Linked DNA regions of Ovis aries. The main gene of each other region encodes a partner of the protein of the gene in region 2 in a complex. Links are inferred from orthologs where the notes say so. Each region holds a gene or a part of one and is shown on either strand. Other genes may lie near its edges. The genes, in order: VPS52, VPS51, VPS54 and STX6.

What was found.
Region 1: VPS51 (region 2) and VPS52 share a complex: the UniProt entries of both Homo sapiens proteins name them as parts of the endosome-associated retrograde protein (EARP) complex. The link is inferred for Ovis aries from reciprocal best matches to the Homo sapiens genes VPS51 and VPS52.
Region 3: VPS51 (region 2) and VPS54 share a complex: the UniProt entries of both Homo sapiens proteins name them as parts of the golgi-associated retrograde protein (GARP) complex. The link is inferred for Ovis aries from reciprocal best matches to the Homo sapiens genes VPS51 and VPS54.
Region 4: the proteins of VPS51 (region 2) and STX6 are in contact, whole or in part, in a crystal structure (PDB 4J2C), measured with the Homo sapiens proteins. The link is inferred for Ovis aries from reciprocal best matches to the Homo sapiens genes VPS51 and STX6. Residues at the interface, in NP_037397.2 of Homo sapiens: Ala33, His34, Met36, Leu37, Leu39, Tyr40, Tyr41, Gly42, Leu43; in NP_005810.1 of Homo sapiens: Met3, Glu4, Asp5, Pro6, Phe7, Val9, Val10, Glu13, Trp59, Asp60, Asp63, Leu64, Glu66, Thr67, Ile70, Val71, Phe78, Arg88.

Annotation. Positions count from the first base shown.
Region 1 is NC_056073.1:7,582,737-7,586,935, reverse strand, and holds the end of VPS52 (vacuolar protein sorting-associated protein 52 homolog), read left to right. Parts: intron 1-2,084; coding exon 2,085-2,196; intron 2,197-2,364; coding exon 2,365-2,483; intron 2,484-2,688; coding exon 2,689-2,835; 3' UTR 2,836-3,399; downstream 3,400-4,199. UniProt on the Homo sapiens protein: Acts as a component of the GARP complex that is involved in retrograde transport from early and late endosomes to the trans-Golgi network (TGN).
Region 2 is NC_056074.1:39,753,535-39,758,856, forward strand, and holds the start of VPS51 (vacuolar protein sorting-associated protein 51 homolog), read left to right. Parts: upstream 1-1,880; 5' UTR 1,881-1,922; coding exon 1,923-2,147; intron 2,148-2,612; coding exon 2,613-2,742; intron 2,743-5,322. UniProt on the Homo sapiens protein: Acts as a component of the GARP complex that is involved in retrograde transport from early and late endosomes to the trans-Golgi network (TGN).
Region 3 is NC_056056.1:44,279,775-44,285,156, reverse strand, and holds the start of VPS54 (vacuolar protein sorting-associated protein 54), read right to left. Parts: upstream 3,179-5,382; 5' UTR 3,052-3,178; intron 1-3,051. UniProt on the Homo sapiens protein: Acts as a component of the GARP complex that is involved in retrograde transport from early and late endosomes to the trans-Golgi network (TGN).
Region 4 is NC_056065.1:61,503,804-61,508,487, forward strand, and holds part of STX6 (syntaxin-6), read right to left. Parts: intron 4,539-4,684; coding exon 4,476-4,538; intron 1,608-4,475; coding exon 1,482-1,607; intron 260-1,481; coding exon 153-259; intron 1-152. UniProt on the Homo sapiens protein: SNARE promoting movement of transport vesicles to target membranes. Targets endosomes to the trans-Golgi network, and may therefore function in retrograde trafficking.

The DNA.
Region 1 (4,199 bases), on a different chromosome or scaffold from region 2:
CTTTCCTCTTCTTCTTTTTTTTTCTACTTTAATTCCACCTTTCCATTAAAAAAAAAAGTCTTTATTTGGCTGCGTCAGGTCTTAGTTGCTTCGCCCAGGCTCTTCTGTTTCTGCACACAGACTATCGTTGTGGTGCGTGGGCTTTGGAATGAGGGCTCAGTTGCTGCTTCCTCCGCAGCATGTGGATCTTAGTTCCCCGACCAGGGCTCGAACATGTGTCCCCTGCATTGCAAGGTGGATTCCTAGCCCCGGGACCACCAGGGAAGTCCCTCCCTTGCACTGTGTTTTATTTGTTTGTTTGCCTTTTCATTTTAACTTTGTGTTTTGGGAAATCTCAAATGTACGTCCTATGTAGAGGATAGCATGGTGAGCCCCCAGGCGCCGTCACACATCTTCAGCCAATGACAGGACAATTGTTTCATCTGTATCAAAACCTGTTGTTCATCCTCCCATCCGTCCCCCAACCCTCAGTGATTTTGAATTAAATTCTGTACACCACTATCACTTCATCTGTGTCAGGATATGTTTTTTAAACCACAATACTTTATCACACTTTTAAAAAAAGATAGGACTTGGGGCTTTCACTTGAGGTGGCCTGGAAAAAAAAAAGAAAGTAGCTAGTATTCATGTATCCCCACTTATAAACAGTGGTTCAAGTCAGGATCCATATACAGTCCATACGTGCCTCTCTTTTTTCTGTTTATTTGGCTGTGCCGGGTCTTAGTTGCGGCGTGTGGGATCTAGTTCCCTGACCAGGGATCAAACCTGGGCCCCCTGCATTAGGACTGTGGAGTCTTAACCACTGGACCACCAGGGAAGTCCCCGTATGTCTCTTTTTAATCTATAGATTTCCCTTCTATCTCCTCCCTGTCTCCTCCATGCAGTTTATTTGTACAAGAAATGGAGTCATTTGTCACGTAGAATGCCGTACAGTCTGGATTTTGCTGCCTGCCTTGCATAGCATGCCTAAGCTATTCCTCTTTTCCCATAAATGTGTGATTCAATGGAAACGCTTGATCAGATTCCAGGTAGATTTTTTTTACAAGGCTGTTTGAGAAGTAGTGGTGTGTACTTCTCTCAGGGCACTTAATGTCTTCTTGGCTTTCTTTTTGCCAGTGGCCATCAGTGATCACCACCCAGACCATTAGATTTCTAAATCTCTCAATGTCTCAAAAATTTCCATCTCCTTATCTGTGCTGCATTTTGAGTCATTTCTTCAATTGTAAATTCCAGTTTGCTCAGTCATTTTTCCAGGTACATCCAGTCTGCTGTTTAGCCAGCTGACATAAAAAAAAAAAATTTTTTTTAATGTTTTTTTCTAAATCATTTCTTTTAAATCCCATTTTGTTTCAAGTCTGTTTCTGATCTTGGTAGTAGGTCACGTTTGTGTGGCGTCTTTAACTTCTTTGAACATTGCATACAGAATATGCAGCTGCTCTGTGTGTGACAGTTTTAACACTGGCAGTCTTCGGAGGTCTAAGTCCACTGCTTACTGTCTATTCTGACTCGTCGTAGCTTGCTTGCTTCTGTGACTGGGTATCTTCGGGCTCTTTTCTTGGTCTCAATCAGGGGTAGTCATCGGGGCCTAAATGGGGATCAGGGAGGTTTCAGAGAAGGCTTGCCTCTGCTTTTGTAATAGCTGAAAGTTGCCATCCACCTGGGTCTACACTGGCACCTCTGAGAGGCTCTCATGAGACCAAGCTCAGCATCTCCACTCAAGGCCTGCATCAGCTCAGCTTCCTGATAGCAGAGCTGCCGTGACCACTTACTTTTTTGTAGCCCTGCCTCTCCCAGGCGCTCAGGGCCCACTTCTCTGGTTCTGGCCCTCTGCTCCCAGCTCACTTTTTTAAATTTAAACAAAGGTTTTGTGGCTTATTTATTTATTTTGAGAAGGGAGGAGATTTCCCCTACGTCTTGTGAGACCGACAGTGTCTTAAAGTATATGACCTTTCTAGAGGTTCGCTGTTGTTATGGGAGTGTTCTAAGGACCTAGTTGGTCATGGTGCCAGAATTGGGAAAAGTCTGCCCCCCCCCCCCCCCCCCCGGAATCTGAGCTCTGTGTGTGTGTGTGTGTGTTCCTACAGGAATTCATTGAAGAGTTGCTGTCTCCCCCCTTTGGGGGCCTGGTGGCATTTGTAAAGGAAGCCGAAGCTTTGATTGAGCGAGGACAAGCGGAGCGACTCCGAGGGGAAGAAGGTCTGAGGATGGGGTGGATGGGGTGGGGTGAGGGGAAAGAGGATGGGAAAAGAAAACTGCAAGGATGCAGATTACATGGGGAGGGCGAACACCAGAACGGGGTTGCAGGGTGAGGACCTAGCGGGATCAGACATCACTTAGCCATGATCTTTTTCCTCCTCCTCTCAGCCCGGGTTACTCAGCTGATCCGTGGCTTCGGCAGTTCCTGGAAATCATCGGTGGAGTCTCTGAGTCAGGATGTGATGCGGAGCTTCACCAACTTCAGAAATGGAACCAGCATCATCCAGGTAACCTGTGACTCCCGGTCCCCATTCGCACCCCGCCCCATCACTGGTTTGCCCTCCTCTTTTCTCGGGGCTCGGAATCATACAAGTGACCCTTGATCTTCAACTACCAGCTGTGCCCAAAGTTCTGGCCGAGCCCTAAGCTGACGGCTATCATCATCCTTAGAATCACCCTGCATCTCATCCCTCCGTGACTTTCTCTGAGCAGGGAGCTTTGACCCAGCTGATCCAGCTCTATCATCGCTTCCACCGGGTGCTGTCTCAGCCACAGCTGCGAGCCCTCCCTGCCCGGGCTGAGCTCATCAACATCCATCACCTCATGGTGGAACTCAAGAAGCACAAGCCCAACTTCTGAGGCGCCGGGCCCTGGGGGCCACCAGCCCTCTCCATGGACTTCTGAGCCCCATCCTATCCCCCTTTTCACCCGGGGCTCCCTGCCAGTGCCCCTTTGCCTCCTAGGCTCTCACAGGCCTCACTCTGCCTTCATTCCTGGGACTGTGCTTCGTCAGGATAAGCCGGATCCCCTTGGCTTTGGGCATGTCTCATGTCCAAGTTTCCCAGGACCACTCGCTCCTGGGCTTCCAAACTAACCTCCGTTATCTTTCCAGTGTTGTCATTCCGCTCTTTCCTCCCACTGCCCCACCCCCAAGGCCTTTTTCTTCTCCCAGTAAAACCTTCTGGTTCACTCAGCTCTTGTCATCGTGGCATGAGGTGTGACGCCTCGACTCTTGGAATTGTTGTGGCAAGGGAAGACTGTCTCATAACGGTTGACTTTTTTTTCCCTTCCACTCAGTGATTTATTTTCTGTAGCTTTTTGACCTAAGATCTCAGCAACTTGAACACTAATCAGTCGCCTCCTGGCTTCAGAGTTACATCAAGGTCAGTGTGCAGAAAACAATAAATACTTAATATGATACAACACTCTTTTCCCATTTCTTTTCTCCTCCTCCTGGGAGAGGAGGTCCTTCAAGTAGCCCCGTCTCTGCCCCAGGATCACCTTTGCTCTCTGCCTCCTGGGCCTGCATCCCTTTCTGGTGGGTGTCCAGAAACTCGGGGCCGTGGTTACCTCTAACCTGCAGCTCCTTCAGGCCAAAGTGGCTGCATTGGTTTTAGGGCGGGAACTGTTTCAGGAGTAACCAACCTGGCTGAGGAAGTGACCCTGGTGAAAACGGCAGATGCCGGCCGCCTCGGCTCCTCTAAGGCAGACACCGGCTCTCCTTGCCTCTGGCCTCCCCAGGTTGACGCTGGGATTGCCTTCTCTCCTTGAGGGTCAGCTCCCTAGCTCCTCCGGTGCGACCGTCACAGCCCTTGCTAGGGGGCTGCAGTTGCCATTGCGCTGGGCCGTGAGCAGGCCAGGTCTGCAGTGTGGCCATCTCATCCCTTCCTGTGTCTCGGCCCCTTCCTGCTGCTGCCGCCTTACGGTCCTGGTCCCGTTTGAACTCAGACTCTAGACCGAGGAGACTTGGGGGTGCCTGGAAATGCGGAGGGGGAGGGCCAGTGCCGTCGGGGGGACATGGTAACTCGGGGACGTCCCCCCACCCCCGACCTTCTCGTTCCCCCAGTGGCTGCTTGGGCCCTCTGGATGCTGGCCCAGCCCGCACGCGGAGGCGGGGAGAATCAGGGTGCAAAGCGGCGCGCCGTCTGCTCCGCGCCGGGGCTGGGGGCGAGGCCCGCGCTTCGCAGGGTTAGGGCCGGAGAGCGGCCGCGCCAGCCGCCTCT
Region 2 (5,322 bases):
GTTCCCTGGTCAGGGAACTAGATCCTACATGCCACAGCTAATACCAGGCACAGCCAAATAAATATTTTAAAAAGTTAAAAATATACTTGAATAAACACAACTAAGATACATTAACTCGTCAGTGAAGGGGTTCCCCCTCACTCATGTGTAATGCATGATGAGGCACTAGGTATTGATAGGCATTTGAAGAAGAGTGTTAGGACATGATTACTAGATACAAGATTGGTTGATGTCCTACAGGGCAATAAAAACAAAATTTAGAGGTTATTTTTCCACTGGATATTTTCACTGGAGATGTTTCACATCTCTCCAACACTATCTAAATAGCAAGATCAAACAAATGTACACTCCTGTGGGTAATTAAATAGTCTTTGGGTGGGCTTGTGAAACAATGCCCCAGTATGGTATTGGAAGGTCATGCTACACTGTCTTTATTCCAACTGTTGGATAATTTTTCATAACAGTATTCTGTGATTTTTTTTTAAGTTTATAGATTTCCTGGAGTAGATCTAAATCTTTATACTTTTGTCTTCATTTTTCTTAAGATTATAGCTTCATAAGCTGAAATCTTCATATATATATATTTTAGACAGTCTCTGAATATCCCATAGATTTAGGGGTCAACAAACTTTCTGTGAAAAACAAGATAGTAAATGGTTTTGCCTGCCAAAGAATAAATAAAGTGGTTTCCATTCCACCCCGGACCCCCAACCCATAATATGTTTCAAAGACCACACTGACAAAGTCTTTTTCTCCTTTTTCATCCACTCAAACTCCGTGTGTCTCAATTTGAACTCACAAGTCTTTCCTTACCTTCAGTTCTTTACTTCAGTGAACAGCTGTGCATTTGTCCCAACCAGAAACCTGAGAATTAGCTTCAACACCTCCGCCTAACCCCTCTAGGCAGAGCATTTCAACAGTCACTTGGAGAAACAAAGTTGGTCTTTCCGTAGTGCATGCGCTGTAGCCTGGCCAGGTTCCTCTGTCCATGGGATTTCCTAGGCAAGAATACTGGAGTGATCTGCCATTCCCTTCTCCAGGGCATCTTCCCAGCCCAGGGATGGAACCCAGGTCTCCTGCATTGCAGGCAGATTCTTTACCACTGAACCACCAGGGAAGCCTTATCAGTGAGTTAAGATCTACCAAGTGTGTCTTCTCAGGGTATAACAGGAGTTCTCAAATGTAAGTGCATCAGAATTACTTAAAGACTTAAAAAAAAGAAGCTAGGTCTGAGGGGAGCCCAGTCTTCACAACTCGCCACAGGTAATTCTGAAGGCTATTCTGATGCGCGTCAGAGGACCAGGTCATCAGAGACACTTCACTTGAGGCACTGTGGTTGTCCATTAGTCCCTAAGTCGTGTCTTTGAGACGCCATGGACTGTAGCCCGCCAGGCTCCATGGGGTTTTCCAGGCGAGAATATATGCATTTAATCCTCACAGTCTCCTTGTTAAATATGTACCCCGATATTAGGAATGAAGGAAAATGAGCTGCTGCCCACCCCCTCTCCCCTCAACAAGGCAGTGGCAGGATGCCAGGCACACGCTTTCTGGCTCCACTGGCCCGCGCTCCCTCCACTGCCTGCATCTAGGGACATAGGGTGGAAGCCACGACTCGTCCTCCTTCCGGGAAGACAGCGACCCAACCAGTTTCGCAAAATCCTTCCATCTGAGAAGCTGGAGAGGCGGGTGAAGGGGTGCGGGGGTGGGGGGTGGGGCGTGGGGGCGGGAACCCAGGGCTTTCCCGGAACCTCTGAGCTCGGGGAGAAAGCATGCGGGGGAACTCTAGTCTCGAAGGACTCGAGGCTGCAGGGGGACGTTTCACCTGAAGGACTGCCTCGTTTCAACAACAACTTTATGGCTCCCGGAAGTGCCTCCTCCCTGTCCCCTGCCCAGCCTCACGCCTGTGGGCTGCACTTGGAGCCATGGCGGCGGCAGCCGCTGCGCCTGGCCCAGGGTCTAGACCTGGGGACTCCCCGGAAGGACCCGAGGCGGAGGCTCCAGAGCGTCGGCGGAAGGCTCACGGGATGCTGAAGCTTTACTACGGCCTCTCAGAGGGGGAGGCGGCGGGACGCCCCTCGGGGCCAGACCCCTTGGACCCTACAGATCTCAATGGGGCGCACTTCGACCCGGAAGTATACCTGGATAAGGTGTGTGTAGGGGGAGGGGGAACAGGCCCCGATATATTACGCCCCAGATCATGCCTCCGACTTTTTGCGGGGGTGTGGGAGGAAGGGTTCATAAAAGCAGGACAGCCCCGGGTGGAGCTGTAGGGGCAGAGCTGGAGGATAAGGGGGCGTGGGCAGACTTGAACTGGCCTGAAGTGGTGTGAAGTCTGAGGTCTCCTGGGCTGATGTTCAGTTAGACCCGAAATAGGGGGCGTGTCCCAGGCGCTGACTGGCGTAGGAAGGACCAGGGCTTGCTAAATCTGAGGGTTTGAAATGCTGACAAACCTAAAATAGGGGCTACCCTGGGAACTCTTGAGCTATGCCACATAGTTTCCTTGTCTGGAGTTCTTGACAGGGGTGAGACCAGGACTTTCTTGCACCAAAAGCCTACCAGTTGGGGACATGAGTGCCCCCTGTCCTGGACACTAACCACCTAATTTCCTCCAGCTGCGTAGAGAGTGCCCACTGGCCCAGCTGATGGACAGTGAGACGGACATGGTGCGGCAGATCCGGGCTCTAGACAGCGACATGCAGACCCTGGTCTATGAGAACTACAACAAGTTCATCTCAGCGACAGGTGATTCCTACTGGGACACGAATCCTCACGTCCCACATCCCCCAGTTCCTCCAGTGTTGGGGAAACCAGCAGAGGGTTTAGACAGAGCAGACCCAGATTATGGTCCTACCCTGACGCGAATACACTCTCATCTCTCTCTCTTAGAGCTTTTGTGGTTTGATAACCATTGAGGTAATAACTGTTCTCAGAGGGTTGTTTTGAGGACCAAAGGGGAGAAAAAGACAAAATGAAATTTTAAAAAGAAATGAATTTATCTGAAGCACTTAGAATCTCTGACACTAAGGATGCCTCGGTAACAGTTTCTTTCATTAGTGGTAGCTTTCTTCTGTTTCAAGTCTGAATCAAGAATGGGCTTATTTCTCTCTTTCCTTTTCTCTCTTCTTTCCTTTCTTCCCTCCTCTTTCCCCTTTTCCTCTTCCTTTCTCTTTTTGTAAATGAAGCAAAGAGACAGAAAATGTATGTCATTAAGGGACAAAGATCATGTAAAGGCTTCCCCCCACCCTCTTCTGTTCCGTTTATTCTCTATTCAAGACAGTGCTAGGCAGTGTTCAGCTTTCATCCATGCTAGCTTCTGTCCTGTGTTGGGGAAATGTACTGCTCAGACTTCTGTAATAATTTTTGACCCACATGTACTTAGTCCTAGAGGAAGATCTCATGGGTCTACCTGCAGTGTATCTTATCTTTACTCTGAGTGAGATGAAATGAACAGAAGATGGGGTGACCTGGCTTTTGATTTAAAAGGACCCTTCTATCCCCTGTCAAAAGTGGACTATAGGGAGGCAAGGATGGTAGAGACACCCATTAGAAGGCTGTTTTAACAGTCCAGGCAAGATGCTGGTTGTATGGACCAGGGTGGGTGCAGTGGGAAAGCAGAATGGCTCAAGATTCTTTAAAGTTTGTTAGTTGAGGGATCTGGAGTTCAGAGAAGGCTGGAACTTGAGATGAAAGTGGAACAAGATGAGATCTAAGGAGGGAGTGTACAGAGAGAAGAGGTCTGAGGACTGAAGCTTGGGGCATCCTAAGATTTGGAAGTCACGAAGAGCAGGAAACTCTCACAAATCTTCTTTCTCAAAGGAGCAAACATTTGGGAAAGTTTGAGAACAACCAGGACCCTAGGTGTCTTAGAAGATGAATGAAGAAAGGCATTCTAAGAAATTGATAAGCTTGACCAATATGTTAGCTCATGGAGTGCTCATCAGTGGTGCAAGAGAGGGAGAAACTACAGAAGCAAGGTCCTCAGGAAAGAAGGAGGGGATTGAGCAGTGCACAGTGGAGAGGTTCACCTGAAGACAAGGCCAGGAGCCTGTCTACTGTAGCAGGAGGGAGAGCAGACTGTGGCCAGAGCCAGTCAGGTGGATAGGCAGATAGAGTTCAACTAGAGACCTTCCAGAGCACGTTAAGGAATCCAGCCTTTATCTAAAGCATACTTAGCTAATCAAGCTGTTACGATTTTTGTTTTGAAAAGATCCCTCTACCTCCTAGCTGCATAGGAAGGAATAGATTGGAGAGGGGGTTAGAGTGAGGCCATTTCAGTAGTCCAGACCAGAGATTCTGGGAGCTTACTCCAGGATGGTGATGGTGGAGGTGGACAGTGATGAGTAAACTGAGAAGTGTTAGGGGTACCATTGACAGGACATAGTGTTGAAGAGGTTTGAATAAACAGAATGCCCTAGTTTCAGCTTGAACACTGGATGGCAGATGTAGTGCCCGAGAAACTGCAAGAAGATCTGGTGTAAGAGTGGAAACATGACGAGCTAGGTTTTTTCTTGTTTTTGTTTTTAAGGGGAGTAAGGCATGACATGAACCTGGAGGAGCCTGTGGGGCCACGTCAGGAGGGCCCTTTGTAGACAAGATAAGGATTATGGTCTTTATCATAAGAACTCTAGAGATACTTCTTGCAAACAGTAACCAGAAGAGAGTTGGGATAGTAGTACCAATTCAGACAAAATAATATGTAAGACAAAAATTGTTACTAAAGAGAAAGAAGGACATTTTACAACAGGCAGCTCATTAAGATGTTAACGAATATAAACACTTATGGACCTAACAACAGAATCCCGAATACATAAAGCAAAATTGGGTAGAATTAAAGACAGAAAAAGAAATTCAGCAATAATAGTTAGAAATGTCCATATCCCACTTTCAAAAATGGAGCGAACAGTTAGACAGAAAGACAGCAAGAAAATAGAAGGCTTAAACAGTACTTACTCAGGAAGTTTAAACTGGGGCTCGTGGCAATCTAGAGGGGTGGGATAGTGTGGGAGGTGGAAGGGAGGCTCAAGAGGGAGAGGACATATGTATACTTACAGCTGATGCATGTTGACGTATGGCAGAAACCAGCACAATACTGCAAAGCAATTTACCTTTCACTTAAAAATAAATAAAATTTTAAAAATGAAAAGCAACACTTAAACCAAATAGACCTAACAGGCACATATAAAACCCTCTCCTGCAACAACAGCAGAATACACATTCTTCTTAAGTGAACATGGAACAGTCTCCAGGATAGACCATATCGTAGGGCATACAAGTCTCAGTAAATTTAAGAGGATTGGAATCAAGTGATTAGTGTTCTCTGAA
Region 3 (5,382 bases), on a different chromosome or scaffold from region 2:
ACTAAAAAAATATCTGCATTATGTCACAGATTCTTCCCTCACTGCCTCCTCTTGCAAAGACAGAGAACTGCCAAAGGACCTAAAGTTTAATCTTACCCACCAAACAGCACCCAATGAGAATATTTTCCCATCTGGTGGAAGTCAGGAACATTAGCTCAGGCCCTTACCAGAATCATGCAAACCACAGGATTAGAACATTACTGATATTTAGGGTCAGATAATTCTTTGTTGTATGTCAGGAGGTTGTGGGGGAGGCAGGGTAGAATAGGATATATCTTGCACATTATAAGATATTTAGCAACATCCCTGGCTAGAGGCCAACACCACCCAACCCTCAGCTGTGACAATGAAAAATGTCTTTGGACATTTCCAAATATCCCTCGGAGGGCAAAACTGCCCCTCTTTGAGTACCACCAATTTAAAAGTTAGGGTCCTAGGTCTTGAAAAAGGAGGCCTCCAACCAGCCCTGTATAATTTTTTTTAATTGTTTCTAAAACGTGGATTTTTAAAAAATTAAGACAGTAACAGTACAAAAAGATACCTAAATAATATATATGCCATCCTCCTTTAGCTTAAAGCATTTTATAGGATTTTGTAATATGAATCACATGTATCGTCCCCTTCCTCCCTCCATCCCAAAGATGGGGAAATGTCCAGTTCTCTCACTACTCTGCTAGTAAAATGTCAAATACATACATCCATATATATGTACATACTTATATACACATAAGATCTTAACAGTTCTAACTTGCAAATCCCCATTTCTTGCTTTACATGGTAACACTGTGGTTCTTAAGTCATGTGTCCTAGAGATTCAAGCTTCCACTCAGATTTCCTCATCTGGTTCCTGCCATCTATTTGTGAAGGAAGTAGGAAGTAAGCAGATGACCTTTAAGATCTTTTCAACTCAACATCCAATGGCAAAAACACTCCTTCAACTTTTACTTACTGACTCCCAGCTGACTAAACCACCTCCTCAGATCACTGAAGTCATTCATGCTAACTTTTTTCTTTCTCCAGTAGTAATCTATGATGAATACAACCAAACAGGATGTCAACCATTTAAAATACCACTTTTTAATACCAGTGATCAGTTGATTATTGCCTGACTCAAACTATTTTAAACATGGATATTAATTTTAAAAGAAAAATTTTTCAGGGAGTAATACTGTATACATGAGTGAACCATAACAGGAAAATATTGAGATGGAAAGTAGATTAGTGGTTACCTATGTCTGGGGGTAGGGTGGAATGGGGAGAATGGGGAGTGACTGCTAATGGGCAGAGGTTTCTTTTTGAGGTGATGAAAATGTTCTAAAATTAGATTATGGTAATAGTTGCACAACTATGTAAATAACCTAAAAATGGATGAATTTAACACTTTAAATAAGTGTACTTTACTCAATAAATATTGTAAAAAGCTTAAAGCAGAAAAAGAATTTTAATCAACTCTTATTGATAGGAAAGGAATATGATTAAGAACAAATTCTGCAAAGTTTCCCATTTCAAGAGTTGTGTAAGATTTGATTTTAACTCTGACATAAAAACTTAACACAGAATTAACTTTTCCAGAAAATAAATACAAATTTAATCATCTTTTCCTAATAAACTTTGGATAACTTAAATGCAATGAAAAACATTTCAGAAAGCCAAATGTTAAGGTAACAATACCTCTCTAAGACCAAAATATATTAATATCATCATCAACAACAGAACAGAATACAACCAAACAGGATGTCTTTTTAGTTTTGTTGTAGTGCACCCTTTATAAAGAAAACCATAGAGATATTTTTAATTTCTTTTAAAAGTGATCCTCAAGTTGTAATGTCTGTCCTGATAATGCAATAATTCTAAAATTAACAGAGTATCATTTTAAAATAGCCAAATCACAATAAAATAGCAAACATCTAATCCCTTAGACCATAACTATCAAGCACCCAAAAATTGCACACATTTTTACCAAAACCTATCATAAGCAATGATGACAACTATGAACAATCAAGCAATACCTATTTCTAGGATATCAGAATCTGACTGCAATCAAACAAATCCCATCATTCCATCTTAGAAATTATTAAGGTTCTCATGCTACTTTTCCAAATAGAACACTTCATCAGGTATAAAAGTCAACCTTAATGTCCGTCAAAATCTGCAATTTAAGTTACCACAATAACATTTCTCAGTACACTATCATGACATCACTTGCCTTTTTAAAGCATTTACTATTAAGACTGCTCTGGGGTTTGACAAATCAGACACAGAACCAATTAAAAACAAAACCCAAAAACATTCCAACTGAATTCTTCGAAAGTAAAGAGAGCCTAAATAAAGACCAAAATTAACCTAGTTAATGGGGAACTCTTAAAAACAAACTGCAACCCGGGTCAGCCAAAATTCTAAAAATACCATCCCAAACTCAGCACACGGACAGACCAAGTGTTAATTATAATGGGCTGGCAAAAGTTCCCCTGTCAACGACAGGAGGGCAGGTAAGGCCTGCCTTTGCATCAGTGCAGAGACGGAAAGATGTATAACTGAAGAAAATTAACTACTGAACAAAATGATTGGGAGCTAAACTGCCAAACTGCAAAACATCGAGTTAATTTCTGGGCTGGCCATCTCCAGGAAGAAAAATGACTTTTTAAATTTAAATTATTCCAGTAGGATCAAAAAGCGGCTTAAGGGCCCGGCCAGAAAAAGAAAGGGAAAGTTTGGAGGCAGCGTCTAAGGAGGATGGTGGAAGTTCCACAGCCGAAATCCCAAGAGGGGCGAGAGGGGAGAGAGAGGCGAGAGCGGCGTCGCAGCCGCGGGCTAGGGGCGAAGAGTACAGCTGCCAGCCCGGATCCCGGCGGGAGAGTGAGAAAGAAGAGGAGGAGGTGGTGGCCGGGAGGAATGGAAGCTTCGGCGCTGGTCAGTTGTGACCGAAACTCCGCCGGCTTGGGCCTGGGAGGAGACAGAGGGGGTGGGGTCTCGGTCCTCCCTCCACGGGAAGTCGGGGCGAGGGTGGGCCGCGAAGCGCTGGGGGCCGCGTGGGGCCGGCCCGACACCTACCTGCGGGTCCCGGGCAGCCGCCCCAGAGCGAGGCCTAGTGCATCGCCGCCGCTTCCAAGCCTCCACGTCGCGCCGAGGCTGCTGCTCCGCGGCCGCCGCCGCCCGGAGCCCGGCTGGGCCCGAGCCCGGCTTCCCGCCCCCGCCCCGCGCCGGCTGGCCCGTCGGCCGGGGGAGCACAGGGCCGCCCTCTCGAGCCCAGCTCCGCTCGGGGGTGAGAGGCGGCAGCGGCGGCTCCCTCACGTCTCTCCCGGGTGTCCTGTCAGCCAGCAGTTTCCCCCGGGTCCGCAGCGCCGCCTCCGCCGCTGCTGCCACCGCCTCTCCCACATCCCCGGCCTCCAGAGGAGCCGCCGCCGCCGCCGCCGCCGCCGCCGCCGCGCCGCGACCACTACCCCTAGCGATTCTGCTCCCTGCTCTACTGCTTCTCCTCACCCCGCCCGCCCGCCTCGGTCTGGCTAGGTCCGGGGAGACAGTGCCGGAGGCCGCCGCGAGGCCGCCGCAGCCCCCAGCCCACAATCCACCGCGCGGCTCCACCGGGGCGGGAGGCCGCGGCCCGGGCCGGGGGGAGCGCTTGCCGTCTCGGGAGAGGGCCGGGCCTGGAGCGGGCGCCGCCGGCGTTACCCCGGAGCGGGGAATACCCCGCGCGGCTGCTCAGCGCCTCCTCTAATCTCTAATAACTCCCCAGGCAGAGACAGAAACCCACGCTGAACTCGATTTTTCCCTACGACCCCTCCCCCACCCCCAGGTGCTCTCGGCTGCAGCCCGGTGCCGCTTGCCGCCTTCCCGGGTCGGTATGCGACCCCTCAGGGTGGCCCTCGCCCAACCCCTAGACCAACCGACACCAAACATCCCTCAATCACCCAGCACCTATTAAAGTAGATACTTCCACAACATTCCACTTGTCCTTTCACCCCTTGAAAGTGAAGGCTATTCAGAGTATCCCAGTTAAGTGTCCTTTGAAAGGTTTAAGGTCACCCCCTCCCCAGCAATCCACTGGACTCTGGAAACAGTGCACTCCCTATGGAGGCCTTCTCCCACCAAATCCCAAGTTTTCCCAAGTTCCAGGCCTTCCTCTCAGGCACCTATCACACTTCTCTAGCCGTGGAATCAGTTCTTCCTGCTCTTTGACTGAAATACTTGAAGAGTGTGTGTGTGTGTGTGTGTGTGTGTGTGTGTGTGTGTATTATTAATACCTCCTCACTATGATTCTCAACAGTAATCCAATTTAGCCTGGTTTCCGAGGGCTGGTGACCTTAATCCAGTTAATAGAATCCACAAGAAAGAGAATGTGTTAGGATACATTTTAAGAGAGAGAAAAGGGCCTTTTGAATGCTTAGTTTATCACGTAGTGTGTTTCATGTGTTTTATCAAATCAAAAGTGAAAATGTAACTCTTACCGTTGGAGATTGAAAAAATAAAGTTTCCAATTTCACTTATAAGAAGTCATTTTGAAAACTGCAAACATAACTCTTTGTGAAATAGTATTTTACCCACTAAAGAGCTAAAGTTGGGGGAAGGGAAAGACAATAGAGAAGAAAGCAACAAAAATAATTGAGAGGAAATTCTTACTTTATATTGTTCTAAATTCAATTCTCTACAATTTTGTAATGAGAACAGTAATCTCCAACATTAACTAAATTTAACTATAAAAATAATAAAGAAATCCTCCTAAGTCCTGGATAAAACCAGATGAGTTTACATTACACACATTACATACATTACACAGGAAAGACACCAAATTTCACCAAAGGCCAGAGAGGAAAATAATTCACTTTAAATCTAGAATCAGTTCATAGATTATACTATAAAATGGATGCAACAAGTTCCTATATTTTGAAACCACATCAGGAAACCAACAGTAGTTCAAAAGCTGCCTTATACCCAGTGGTTTGGCCTTTTAAAAAATATTTGCACTTATACCCGACCTTGCTCTGAAAAAGATTCCAGGTTGCCATAGTTGGCACTTGGGTTAGAGAATAGCTATGAAGTATCTCTCAGACACTAGCACAAGACAGACAGGTTTGCCTTCCTCATCATCCATTTGTAGATAACAAACCATAGGAAGAAAATACATGTTGAGTATTGCACTTAGTTCTTTCAGGGATCCAGCATGATTTTATTTTTACTAATCCACAGAACAGTTCATAATCATGAATCTAAATCTAAAACTAAATGCTGATAATCAGGTTTGCCAAAAACATAACAAAAAACTATTAACTGGCTAAGGAATTTAATTTAGAAGTAGGTATATTTCAGATTAATATGTTCACTTGTTATCCCTTAAATCATTGCAGTATTGAAAAGACACAAGGGACCAAGAGACTCAGGTTTGAT
Region 4 (4,684 bases), on a different chromosome or scaffold from region 2:
GGAGAGGTTAATCTGTAAAACAGAGTGAAGATGCAGCTAGAAACAAAACAGCTTTCGGCTTTACTAGCCATGTAATCGGCAGGCTCTTCAGGGGTCTCCTAAGATGGCGCTTTCCTTCACCTCTGCGGCGAGAGGGGCATCCCAGTACTCACACGGCCTGCTCCTCCAGCTCCCCTCCGATGCGCTGGGACATGTTCTTCAGCACTCCGATGCTGCCAGAGACCAGCTCCAACTGCTCATCCTGCTGTTCCACGATCAGCTGGTGCCAGAGAAATGGGAAATAAGCAATTAAAATCCATCTTACCTGGTTCCAAGCCCAGCACTCGAGCAGCTGCTAGCTTCTTTGCCAACTCGGGACAATTCACATTCAGAAGCAAAGCCCAGAAATCAAAGGACCAGACCGTCCGCCTCAGAGAACACGCTGCTCAAAAGGCTGGGCTGTCAAGCTACTGATATCCCCTGCTGATCCAACTTGTGAAACAGTCAGCGGGGCTTGAAACCACCCAGAGAGATTTACCCTGGTTGGCTGAAGTCCAGCAAGGGACAGACAATGGCCAAAAGCACCTGTGCAGTGACCACGGACACGTGGGGATGCTGGGGAAGAGGAAGCCCGCTGCCAGGATCAGGGTCTCAGTTGGCAGCAGCTGGCCACAACGCAACTGCAAGAGAAAGTCTGACAGGTCTCTGGACATGGGAAAACTACACACACAGAGTCCTTTGCTCCCTCCTCAAGGACACGTGAGAGGAGGCTCTGCGGCAGTAAGCTACCTTGCAGGCAACTTCTGAGCACAAGTTACTTTTAATTGGCTGCAGTAGCCTCACTTTTCATTGAAAAAAAAAAAAAGTTCGCTTGGTTAATGGCAATTTAAGTAGACAAATGGTTAAGCTGATGTACTAATGGAAAAAGATCAACACGTATATATAAAACAGAGTATTTAAGAACTAATAGTTTTGATGGGGTGGTAATGCTCAAATCCCCAGACACTTTACTATTAGCTCCCTTTAATTAATACAAATCAAAAGCAACCACACAAACGTAATCAACCTTTCCTTCTACCCCTTAACCTCCACCAAGCAATGATTTTTACGTCTAATGGAACCAACAACCATTTTCAATGAAAAAACAAGGACTCAATTTTTCTCAAAGTGCCTTTGTTGAAATGAACAAAAAGCTGAGTACAGAAGTGGAGGCTGGGGAAGAAGCTGCTATGCTTTTAAATCAATGGCCTTCTCTGTCAGTTGCGGGTGTCTGGTCTGCTTGTCCTAAGAGGTCTAATCAAGCTTGGTTCTCTTGAAACTGTCATGCTCTGAAGGGTGTCTTAAACACCCTTTATGTAAGCCACCTTCACACAGGTAGACTCCGGCAGCTGTGGGGCTAGCTCTGGCCCCTCCTGCCTGTCATTAGCAACAGGGCCCTGGCTGGCAGAGCAGTGGGGAGGGTGGTGCTTGGCCTCCCACCTCCCCGTCCTGCACTCAGGTACCTGCTGCTGTGCCTGCTGCTCCTCGATGAAATGGGAGTTGGCCAACTGAAGCTCCCGGTCGAGGCGCCCATATTTATCCGACGTTCCAGCGCTCCAGTTCTGTCCGCCACTGTCTCCTAGCAGGGCCTGTGAAAGTGGGGCCAGGGGCAGCAGGGCAGGAGGGACAAACCATTACTCTCACTAAACAAGGGTCCCATCACCATGATATGAAGAGTCCTCCCACTGCTCATGAGCTGTCTTTCCAGGGATCAGCTTTTTATGGACTGGTGCAGGTTGGTGCCTGCGGAGTACAAATCAGAGAATGCCATGAAGGGCACTTTCTATTGACTCACAAAAGAGCTCTGTCCCATTAAAAATGCAAGTGAGAGTCAACTTTAAAGCAATCTTAAAGCCCCTCTGTGCACTGCTTTGTGGATCGTAAAGCACTTGTTCTCATAGGACCAGTTCTTCCTAGCACCCTTGGAATTTCACTGGAGACCTTTTGAAGGTCCTAGTCTAACTAATTCCAGACATCTAGAGTCCCTTCTATTTAAGTATGAGCAAGGAAAATTTTTGGTGTTCAGAGGAGGGAGGAGATAGTTCCCTAAAGTGACAAGAAACTAAGTCATAGTCCCTCATGCAGGGAAGGCACAAGAACCACCAGTGTCTGCTCAGTGTGACCCACAGATGAATCCCAATGCCCTTCAGCTGAACTAAAAGGCTAGAGGCTTCCCAGATGGATTAGGGGTTGCTTCAGAAGAGAGCACGGCCACAGTGGGGGCCTGACCCTGATAACCCAAGCAAGGGTTGGCCCTGATGTCAGGGTTGGCTCCACCTGGGCCCCCAGACACCAGGGCTGGGTTTCCTAGTATGAATTTGAGGAATTCTGTAGTCAGAAAAGATTAAGTTTGGGAATGTTTTCCTTCACTGAAGAGGCCAGCCAGGAATGCAAGCTGACCCTGCCTGGGATCCCCACAAGCCTTTTTAACCAAAGAACTGGACCAAGCTAGTGACGAGGATTCTTCTATCTTGTAGAGCTGCCAAAACTTCTTACCAGGTACCTTTAGCTCTGGAACTGTTAAAAGTCTAACTGATTCCTTGGTTCTCTGTCTGCAAAGCCCCTCAATAGCCACACTAGCCTTGCCTGACTTTCAGACATGAATTTGGCCAAATGGCCACATTTCAGAGGCTACATTCAGGAAAGTTCAGGATGTATGTTGAGTTCTGAGGCAGATATGAGAAGAGGACCAGGATGCCTGAGAACTTCCACAGCCCAGAGCCTTAGTCAAGAGTCTGGATGGTGACTGTCTCTGGTGTAGAACAGACATAAGGTTCTGGGGGGATGCTTCTGCCCCATCTGGTCATGGAGCTGTTAAGATTGAAAGGATCCTGCTCGTTTTGATGCAAAGACTCTAATGAGTCTATGGTGGATACTGGGGCCTAGTAACAATTTTTTCAAGGTCAGAAAAAGTCTACAGTGCATCATTAGGCTATGGATAGAGAACCAGAGCTCCTGGGGTCACAGTCATGGCTATTTTTTCCTAGCTTATCCATGGTCTACACTTGGGTAGGCATATGGCATGCTGTTAAGAGTCACCCGTGAAGCTGTCGAGATCCCCTTGGTCTGACCTCCAGGAGTTGGTTAGTGAGAAAGAAGATGGAGAGAGGGCCCAGAGCACTGGGGACCAGCCCAAGTATAGCTGCCAAAGCAGGAGGCCTTGGCTTTGTGAGGATCAGCCCAGCACCCGGTGCTGGAAGCAGCCGTGAGGTGGACTCTGTCCACCTTCCATTCCTTGAATGCCTGTGACTCGAAGACATTTTGTTGTAGTGTAGTTGCTAAGTTGTGTCTGACTCTTGCAACCCCATGGACTAGCCCACGAGGCTCCTCTGTCCATGGGATTTCCCAGGCAAGAATACTGGAGTGGGTTACCATTTCCTATTCCAGGGGATCTTCCCGTCCCAGGGATCAAACCCAAGTCTCCTGCACTGGCAGGTGAATTCTTTACCACTAAGCCACCTGGGAAGCCCGAAGATATTTCACTCATCGCCTGAAACAAAATTCCCAGCCACAGTCAGGAAGCCTCTGCATAAATCTGCGTTTTATTTATGTTAGTTCACTGGCTTTTCCAAGAGTCAGCGCCAGATGGGATGGCTAGCTAACATCTTTTCCTGTCTGCACTGTTGGGTGGATGGGGAAAAAAAACAACAGTGACTTGGAAAGTGGCATGTGGGGAAAGAAAACAGGAAAATTAAGCTAGAAGATATTTAGAGAATCCTCTTCCCTTTAAGTGGGTCAAGAAATACCTAGAGGTATAAAGTGAAGAGTGTATCATAAACTACTGATTCCTAGTTAATTAAAAATGGTGAGCTGTTCTTCAATTATCAGCCGACTAAATTCAAGGACTGAGTCTCTTGTAGCTTTTATTTTTGATGTGTCAGTATCTGGGCTTTGGTTTCTGAAATTTATTAGGTTTCATAATTTATTTGTAATAACTTACAAAAGCTGGACCTCACATCAAAAAAGAAATAAAAAGATACATGAAACAGTGAAAGATTCAACACATATTTAAGTTTCTTCAACTACTTTATGTAAAGTTTCAGTCATTAAATATCTAGAGCATCCTACACATGGGCAGCTAGAAATCTAAAAAGAACAGAAGAGAAACACCATGACACAATCCCTCCCTACTCACAAAGAAGCTTGAGGTCCAGCAGAGAAAATGACAAGCAAGCAAGCAATTACGGCTCTTAACAAAGCTCCTGGCACACAGAACGTGCTCCACAGGTGCAGAATAAATGGTTTGCGGCAAGGGCTATGAGGTACACAGAGCGTGCAACGGGAGCCCAGAGGCGAGAACCAGAGGATGTGGCGGGGGAGGGGGGAGGCTGCTGCCCTCACTACGGGCTCAGCACCAAGGTCTTCTGCTTGAAGACATGATACACGGATGTCAGAATTTGTCAAGTCCACGTATCTGTGTATTTTCTGTGATACTGTATATTCCAATGTTTACTCACCTGTCTATTTTTCCTCTCAGCTAACGCCTGCACAGATGAAGCTGACATCTGATCCTTCATGTCCTAACAAGATAAGCAGAAGACCAGAAAACAAATGAACATCCTTAAACAAAATTGTGGTTAACATTCTGCACACTAGCAAAATATACATAATTCATTATTAACTTTTTAAACAAAAACAGTATTTTTTGCCTTCATTTTCAGTCTCA